Linked DNA regions of Sus scrofa. The protein of the gene in region 1 purifies or fractionates together with the protein of each later gene. This does not show direct contact. Links are inferred from orthologs where the notes say so. Each region holds a gene or a part of one and is shown in the gene's direction. Other genes may lie near its edges.

The links.
Region 2: the proteins of MYO6 (region 1) and LRCH3 purify together in Homo sapiens (co-immunoprecipitation; 3 studies listed by BioGRID and IntAct, with this or other methods). This does not show direct contact. The link is inferred for Sus scrofa from reciprocal best matches to the Homo sapiens genes MYO6 and LRCH3.

What each region holds. Positions count from the first base shown.
Region 1 is NC_010443.5:89,994,482-89,998,301, reverse strand, and holds part of MYO6 (unconventional myosin-VI), read left to right. Parts: intron 1-2,479; coding exon 2,480-2,698; intron 2,699-3,622; coding exon 3,623-3,820. UniProt on the Homo sapiens protein: Myosins are actin-based motor molecules with ATPase activity. Unconventional myosins serve in intracellular movements. Myosin 6 is a reverse-direction motor protein that moves towards the minus-end of actin filaments.
Region 2 is NC_010455.5:134,404,855-134,409,160, forward strand, and holds the start of LRCH3 (leucine-rich repeat and calponin homology domain-containing protein 3), read left to right. Parts: upstream 1-1,224; 5' UTR 1,225-1,267; coding exon 1,268-1,529; intron 1,530-4,306. UniProt on the Homo sapiens protein: As part of the DISP complex, may regulate the association of septins with actin and thereby regulate the actin cytoskeleton.

The sequences.
Region 1 (3,820 bases):
TATTTCTTTTTAGGGCTGTACCTGCAGCAAATGGAAGTTCCTGGGCCAGGTGGGGAATCAGAGCTGCAGCTGCCAGCCTACACCATAGCCACAACAACACTGGTTCCAAGCCACATCTGTGGCCTACTCCACAGATTGCAGCAATATCGGATCCTTAATCCAATGAGGGAGGCCAGGGATCTAACCTTGCATCTGCATAGACACTGTGTTAGGTTCTTAATCCACTGAGCCACATTGGGTACTCCTATTTTTTGATAGTTTAAAAGCTTTGAGTCATCTTTGTGTACAGTAGATTTCTTATAAGTCATTTGAGCAGTAATGATTTGAATATAATGCCATATTTATCTGCCAACTCATTGAACATGCTTTTTTTTTAAGTGCTTCTAATGGAGTTCCTTTTGTTGCTCAGTGGTTAATGAACCTGACTAGGATCCATGAGGACGTGGGTTTGATCTCCGACCTCACTCAGTGGGTTAAGGATCCAGCATTGCTATAAGCTGTGGCGTAGGTTGATTCGACTCCTAGCCTGGGAACCTCCATAATGCTGTGGGTGTGCCCCCAAATAGCAAAAAACAAAGTGCTTATACTAATTTACAGGGCTACACTTGAAACTTATTCATACTTTTAAAATAACACAATTGGATTTGAAAGAAATGATTGTTTAGAAATTAGTTTCAGGAGTTCCTTTCATGGCCCAGTGGTTATAAGGATGTGTGTTTGATCCCTAGCCTTGCTCAGTGGTTTAAGGATCTGGCATTGCCGTGAGCTGTGGTGTAGGTTCTCAGGCACAGCTTGGATCCTGCATTGCTGTGGATGTGGTGTAGGCCAGAAGCTATAGCTCCGATTAGAAGCCTAGCCTGGGAACTTCCATATGCTGCACGTACGGCCCTAAAAAGCAAAAAAAAAAAAAAAAAAAAAAAAAAAAAAAATCCAATTGAATATTTTTATTTTAAAAGAATAAAAGTAGATTAGTCTTACTGGTGGCCATTAGTATTGCAGTGTTTCTGGTCAAGGAACACTGAGCTCTAATTCACTACTTAACACAGAGGGAAGGGTTTGTTTTATAAAATGTCTTAGTTTTGAGTTAGTATACTCTCTGAAGAGTAGATAGTTTTTAAAACTTGAAATCGATACACTAAACTGTAAGTTGTTTTGAGGAAACAGGAACAAGAGAATAAATAAACTCATCTCTGTTAATGTGCTAAAGGTTACGGCTTTTTAAGTCACTAACAAATCTGGGTCTTTTCCTTTCCTTCATAGGCATATACATCTTTGCTAACTGCTTTTTGCTCTCTCTTGTTTGCATGGAAATAAATTCAGCTATTGGTAAATGTAAACCTTTTACTATTGGTGTAAAAAATAAGGAGTAATTTCATCCTTTCAGTACTTGGAAAATCTTAAAAAGGCATGTGACTGTCCTTGACTTATGCATATTATATAATTTTTCATTGACATACTTAGCTTTTCAGTGAGATTCTTAATTGAGATGCAGTCAATGATTAAAGTTGTGAGCATAGAGCCCATATTAAACAGATTTACCAAAATGACACTCCTAAAAATATAGTCATTGTACCAGAGAACTGTTTATTTTCAAAAACAAACAAAAAACAACAAAAAAACAACTTCTCATTGTTTAGTAATGAAAATTGAGCAAGGGAAAAAAGATTGCTAGGAACCCAAAGTATTAGCAGAAAAGTAAGCATTTTTCTTTTCTGTTAGCAAGGAGAACCAAATATTATACACTTTCCACTTATCTTCAGTGGATTTTTTTTCCAGAAGTCTGATTTCAGAGTAAGTGAATCTCTGAGTGAAAGTTCATGCTTACTGTTAGGGTTTTGATGTCATAAAGTTATGTTAGTAAAATGTTTGTGTTATCTGGGCCATTTTAAACCCCAAAATCAGTTGGCAAAGGAGAAAACTTTTAGGTCTTTTTGAGGAAATTGTGATTCAGTTGACAAATGCCTATAATCCTGGAGAGTTGTGAAATTACTGTCTAGTTGTTCCATCATGAATCATCCTGTAAAAGTTATTCTGCAGCCTTCACTTGAACTCCTTGGAGGAAAACTATAAGTTGAGCAAACAACACTAGTTTGCTCTCCTGCCATGTAAGATCATTTTAGTATAGGTACAATCATTTGTGGGAATCTGCTGGGAGCTGGTAGTTGTTATTGCTGCTGCTGCTGCTGCTGCTGCTGCTGCTGCTGCTGGTGTGGGTGTATGTGTGTATGTGCGTGTATATGTGTGTATGTGTATGTATATATGTGTATGTTTGCAGTGCCAAGATACATCTTCAGGGAAAGAAATTTCTAAGAAATCGCACTTAGAATTATATTCATTTATAGGCAATTCATATTTACATTTTGCTTGAAATTGACTATTAGGAACCCCTCTTCTTCCTTTTTTAAAAACAAGTGGTGCACTTTAGGATTAAAGGCTGCTTTCGTTATCCTGGTGTGACTGTCCTTATTCCCTGTGACAGCTCAGCAGAACCCAGCAGTGCAGCTCCCTGCCAGGCAGCAGGAGATCGAAATGAACCGGCAGCAGCGTTTCTTCCGCATTCCGTTCATCCGCCCTGCGGACCAGTACAAAGACCCTCAGAATAAGAAGAAAGGCTGGTGGTATGCCCATTTTGATGGACCGTGGATCGCCCGGCAAATGGAACTTCATCCTGACAAACCACCCATCCTCCTTGTGGCTGGTGTGTATGATTCACATGCAATCAAAAATAATTATAAAGCATAAAAGGACTACGTGCCCTCAGAGTGAAACAGTGTAATATACCATGATGTAATCTTTCCTTAAACTTCAGGGTCAGGAGCAGGCATGGAGTTTTGCAGTTAAGTCATCTCTGTTGAAGATCACTTATTTGTGGTGTGAGGTTGCTTGGGTTAATTATGTCCTTGTAGAACACATAGAAACTTATCTGTGTCTTAAGAACCTTTTCTTGGGTGTTTAATTGTATCATTTGCTTTCTAATGGTTAAATGTAGCCTTTTTAGTAACCCTGGTAACTGGTTTGATCAACTGCACTTTTAATACATTTTGAAAGGGTACTTGCTCAAGGACAGATTTATTTCTGGCCAATTTATTAAGCAGATTTCAATCTTGAAGGAAATAAAGGTTTTTTTAAAAAATATTTTAAAGTATAGTTGATTTACAATGTGCCAGTTTTTGCTGTATAGCAGAGTGGCTCAGTTTTATATATATAGTCTTATATTCTTTTCCATCATGTTCTGTCCCAAGAGACTGGACATAGTTCCCTATGCTATATAGTAGGCCCTCATTGTTATCCATTCTAAATGTAGTAGTTTGCATCTACTAACCACAAACTCCCCGTCCATCCCACTCCCTCCTCCCTCCCCCCTGGTAACCACCAGTCTCTTCTCTGTGAGTCTGTTTCTGTTTTATGAATAGGTTCATTTGTGCCTTACTTTAGATTCCACATGTAAATGATATCATAATGGCATTTGTCTTTTTCTGACTTCACTTAGTGTAATAATCTCTGAAATAAAGTTTTAAAAGTTCTCAAATCTCTGCAAATTGATAGACATGTCAGGAGTAAAGTTTACAGTAAATGGTTCTGGAAGGAGGTGTGGTAATTCTCTGATGTCTCGTGTTTGCAGGTAAGGATGACATGGAGATGTGTGAGCTGAATCTTGAAGAGACAGGCCTGACTCGAAAGCGTGGTGCAGAGATTTTGCCAAGACAGTTCGAAGAAATTTGGGAACGCTGTGGAGGCATCCAGTATCTTCAGAATGCAATTGAGAGCAGACAGGCTAGGCCCACATATGCCACGGCCATGCTGCAGAACCTGTTAAAGT
Region 2 (4,306 bases), on another chromosome or scaffold:
CACCTTTTTTGCAATCCCTTGCATTTAGGAGTTGGACAAGTACTAATTAAGGTTTCATTGAAGAGTTGCACCATGAATGATGGACGGGCTCTCTCCAACCTTATTTTCTTTTGCTCTTTGACATGATCTTTATGGCCTGTGGTGATGTTCTCCGCATGTACCATTAGAAATCACACCTGGATGTGTTGATGCTGATGTACCTTCCAGCATACCTCACATCAGAATCCTTGAGATTTGATTCAAAACCTCATCTATGACTGCATTTCACTGAATTCTGGTGGTTAATCCCCACCACCCCTATTAGGCCCTTTTTTTGTGGTTTTAATCTAATTGGTTTATTTGTCCGGATTCTAATTACATTACAATCTAAGAAAAGGACTGTATCTGACAGTCTATTTCCCATGGTAAAAGTTCATTGATTGTAGGGGAAATGTACATCATTTAGCAGGAATGGCTTAAGTGTGTTAAAGCAGCAATATGCTGGACTAGTTGCAATATATATGAGCTCTAATTGGTTTAAAATGTAGTATTTTCTACTTTTTCAGTAACTTTTTTTTTTTGACTATTTCTTAAAATTGTCTCTAAGCCCTACGTGTAGATTATGGCCAGATCATTTTATATTTCTCAATTTTGGTTCCAGACCAAAAATTTGAACTTTAATACCTCTCACCCAGCTTTATTCACCAATCTTGCCTAAGGGACAGATACTATTTAAGGTGCTTATTTTCGTTAAACTATTTCGTAAAAGGAAAGGCCTAAAATATCTATACGTCCCTTTCAGTGAGAATTATGACATTTGAGAGCCAGGTTAACACTTCTTTTCCTCTCGGGCAATAATAGTTAATAAATCTGCAAGTCTCCATTGAGATCATTTGGCTTATAGAATGACAGGAGTCAGGAAATGTTTCTCATCTCACCACCCAAATTTCTGGCACCAACGGTATTGAGCCTTAATGTTTAATCTAGTACTGAAGGAGGACGGTGGAGAAGTTTTGGTGAGGAGCGTGGTCTGAAAAGTATTTTTATAGAGGCTTGTCGGATAGGTTACTGGGACTAGAGCAGGGCGCCGCTCCCAATTTGTGAGTTCCGTTTTAATTTCGCTTGGAAACCTCAAGTGGGCGGGGGCTAGCGCCGGGGTAAGCGGAGGGGCCCTGCAGCCCAGCCCATCAAGGGACCCGTCCGGGGTCTGCAAGCCCCTTTCCCCGCCCACCCATCATCTGGCCGCGCATGCGCTGCGCGGGCGGGCCAGAGAGTTGTCGGCTAGGAAATGGCGGCCGCAGGGTTGGTGGCTGTGGCCACGGCTACAGAGTACTCTGGCCCGGGAACGTCGGGAGGTAACCTCTCCGTTGTTAACTGCGGCCCAAACTCCGGCACAGGCCCTGGTCCCGGCCCGGGCTCGTGGAGCCGCTCCCTCGACCGAGCGCTGGAGGAGGCGGCGGTAACCGGGGTGCTGAGCCTGAGCGGCCGGAAACTGAGGGAGTTTCCCCGGGGAGCGGCCAACCACGACCTGACGGACACCACCCGTGCGGGTGAGTGGGGCGGGGGTCATCCCTGCCTACAGGAGGCCCGGGGCATAGCCAGAGGCGGCCCCAGCCTATGGGGGGGAAATCGCGAGTGGTTACAGCAACTGGTCCCGTAGCTTCGAGTCGGGACTCGGGCAACGGGGAGAAGCTGGCGGCCCCCACCCACCCAGCCCCGGGGCCTGCGGGCCAGACCCCGAGCTTGGGGCCAGGCGGACAGTAACACCCCCTTCCCCGGCGGGGGAAGAGCACCGTAGAGGACTGCCGGGTAGTCTTACTCTCCTAGAAAATTAACTTCTGCCACTGCTGAGCTAGACCCTTGCTCCGCCGGGATTCTTCAGGCCCTTTCGAATTTGGGATGCCAGATTGACTTGCTAAGATTTGGGATTGTAGCGCGCTCATGATAGGTCAGAATAGCATTGGTCACTGCATTGTCAGGGGGGCATGACTCTCTGCACTGGCCTCTTTTTATAAGAGTTGTGTTTTTAGTGTGAACCCGAACGCTTTAATTTTTTTCTCTTTCCCCTTCATCTAGCTGACTTACCCAGTGTACTTGTGAAAATAACTAGAGCCCACCTTCAGATACCCACTCTTTTCCTCTCTCCTCATGCGGCCTCCAGAAAAGTTGAAGGAAGAAAACTGTTTAGAAAAGATAAACATAGGTTGCCTACCGTTTCTGTATTTAATGCTTTTTAACCCCCCCCCCAGTACTTTACCGTATACTTATTTTTGAACACAGAAAAGATAATAAATCAAGTATTATCTGATTTTCTTGGTTGTAGAGAACAATCTCTGGTGACTGAGGTGTTCAGCATAATGTTTCTCTTGTGTTTAAAATATAGCTTCCTCAGGGAGTAGATTAAAAAGGGAATCAATATAAAGGAGAAAAAAAGCCCCTTACTTATAGTATGGTATGATGTAATTATTTTCATATGTTTTTGCAACCAAAGAATGTGTAGAACTTTGTGTTTTAACCTTTCCTATGTTTGTGCACTCATTAAGATTGATAAGTATTACACATAACTGACTCATGTTAGAAAAAGAAACAGAACTGTTAAACTACTTCAAGAAACTATTCTTTCCAAATAAATTTTTCCTCTAGTGTAAAATTGAAAAAATCAGATGCCTACTTGTTTATAATCTCTTCTTGAAAACAGTTGTACTGAATATACTTTGTATTTTTTAGTGAATGACATTAAAATTAAACTTTCCTGCTGATCTAAATATGAACAGCCACTTGGCTTTTACATATGTTCTGATAGTAAACATCTAAAATTGTCATTCATACCCCAGATTTCATGATTCTGTTCAGGAGATGGATGGAGTAGTGATTTCTTATTGGTGTCATTTCAGTATTACTACATTAAGCCTGAAGTTAAAGAACAAGGTGATTACAGGAGTTTATCGAGCTCATTATCTTACCTGCTTTTAAATAGTTCTAAAAGGAACAATGTGTTTTGCCTTTAAGAAATATTTTATTAACCGACAAAACCCAACGGCATTTATACAGAAGAATAAGTAATCCCAATGAGTTTTTCCCTTACCATGCTCTGAATTTTTAATTCATTAGTATCTACACTTATTTTATTACTTTAATATTAAGTTTCTTCATAAACCAAATTTTTTGTTGGTTAACATTTTATCTGGTCAAAAAGTGTAAAGAAAAAAAAGTTTACAAGGTGCTTTATAACCTACTAGACTAGATTCATTTCTGACATGTTAGAAATATCACTTATTAAGTATAAGTAATCTTTGGCAACCCTTGCTAAGTACAAAAATAGTGAATTAGTCTCTGAATTATTTTAAATGTCTAATTTTATGTGGATAACATTATTGAGTTTTCACTGTTTCCTATTCATTATCATAGGTGTTTTAAAATACATTGCCTTTCTAAGTGCTTAACAATCAGTGGATTAAATATTATTATCCTGGAGTTTCTGCTGTGGTGCACCGCACCGGGATTGGTGTCCTTGTGGTATCGTTGTCTCTGCAGTGTTAGGACACAGGTTCCATCCCTGCAACTGTGCATCAGATCTAATCCCTGGCTGGGCAACATCATGTGCCACAGGGAGGCCAAAAAAGAAAAAAAAAATTATTATCCCAAATTTGCATATGAGGAATCACTCAGAACTTATAGATGAGAAATCACTCAGAGTCATATAAATAGTACTAGTGGTAGACTTTCAGCCTGGGTCCATCTTATTACTCTTCTCTGCACTATACCACACAGCCTCCTTAGGTACAGATAGGTATTACCATTACTGCTTTTACAGATAGTGAAACCAAGTTTGGAGAGTTTGCTCAAACACCTGTAGCTAAAGGCCAAGGAAAGTGGTATTAGCCAGGACTTGAGCCTGATTCAGATCCTGTTTGAGGTAACACTAAAACCATCATCTACTTGTTTCACGGGGTACTTTGAATTCAGACCCACCTTATGTTAGCTAAAATGTTTTGTTCAGACCCTATAGAAAATTTAAAGCCAAGAAAATTATATGAGTGCTATATTTATCAAAACTGCCACGCAGTCTGTTCTTTCTTAATGTATAGACTCTATCTGGTAGAGCTGCTGTCTTTACATTTTAAGAAACAGCACATATTACCTATACTGTTTATAACTTGACATGATTAAAATTCTTTGGAGTTCCTGTTGTGGCTCATCAGTAATGAAGCTGAGCAGTATCCATGAGGATTCGGGTTCAATCCCTGGCCTTGCTCAGTGGGTTAAAGATCTGGCATTGCTGTGGCTGTGGCATAGGCTGGCAGCTGCAGCTCTGATTGACTCCTAG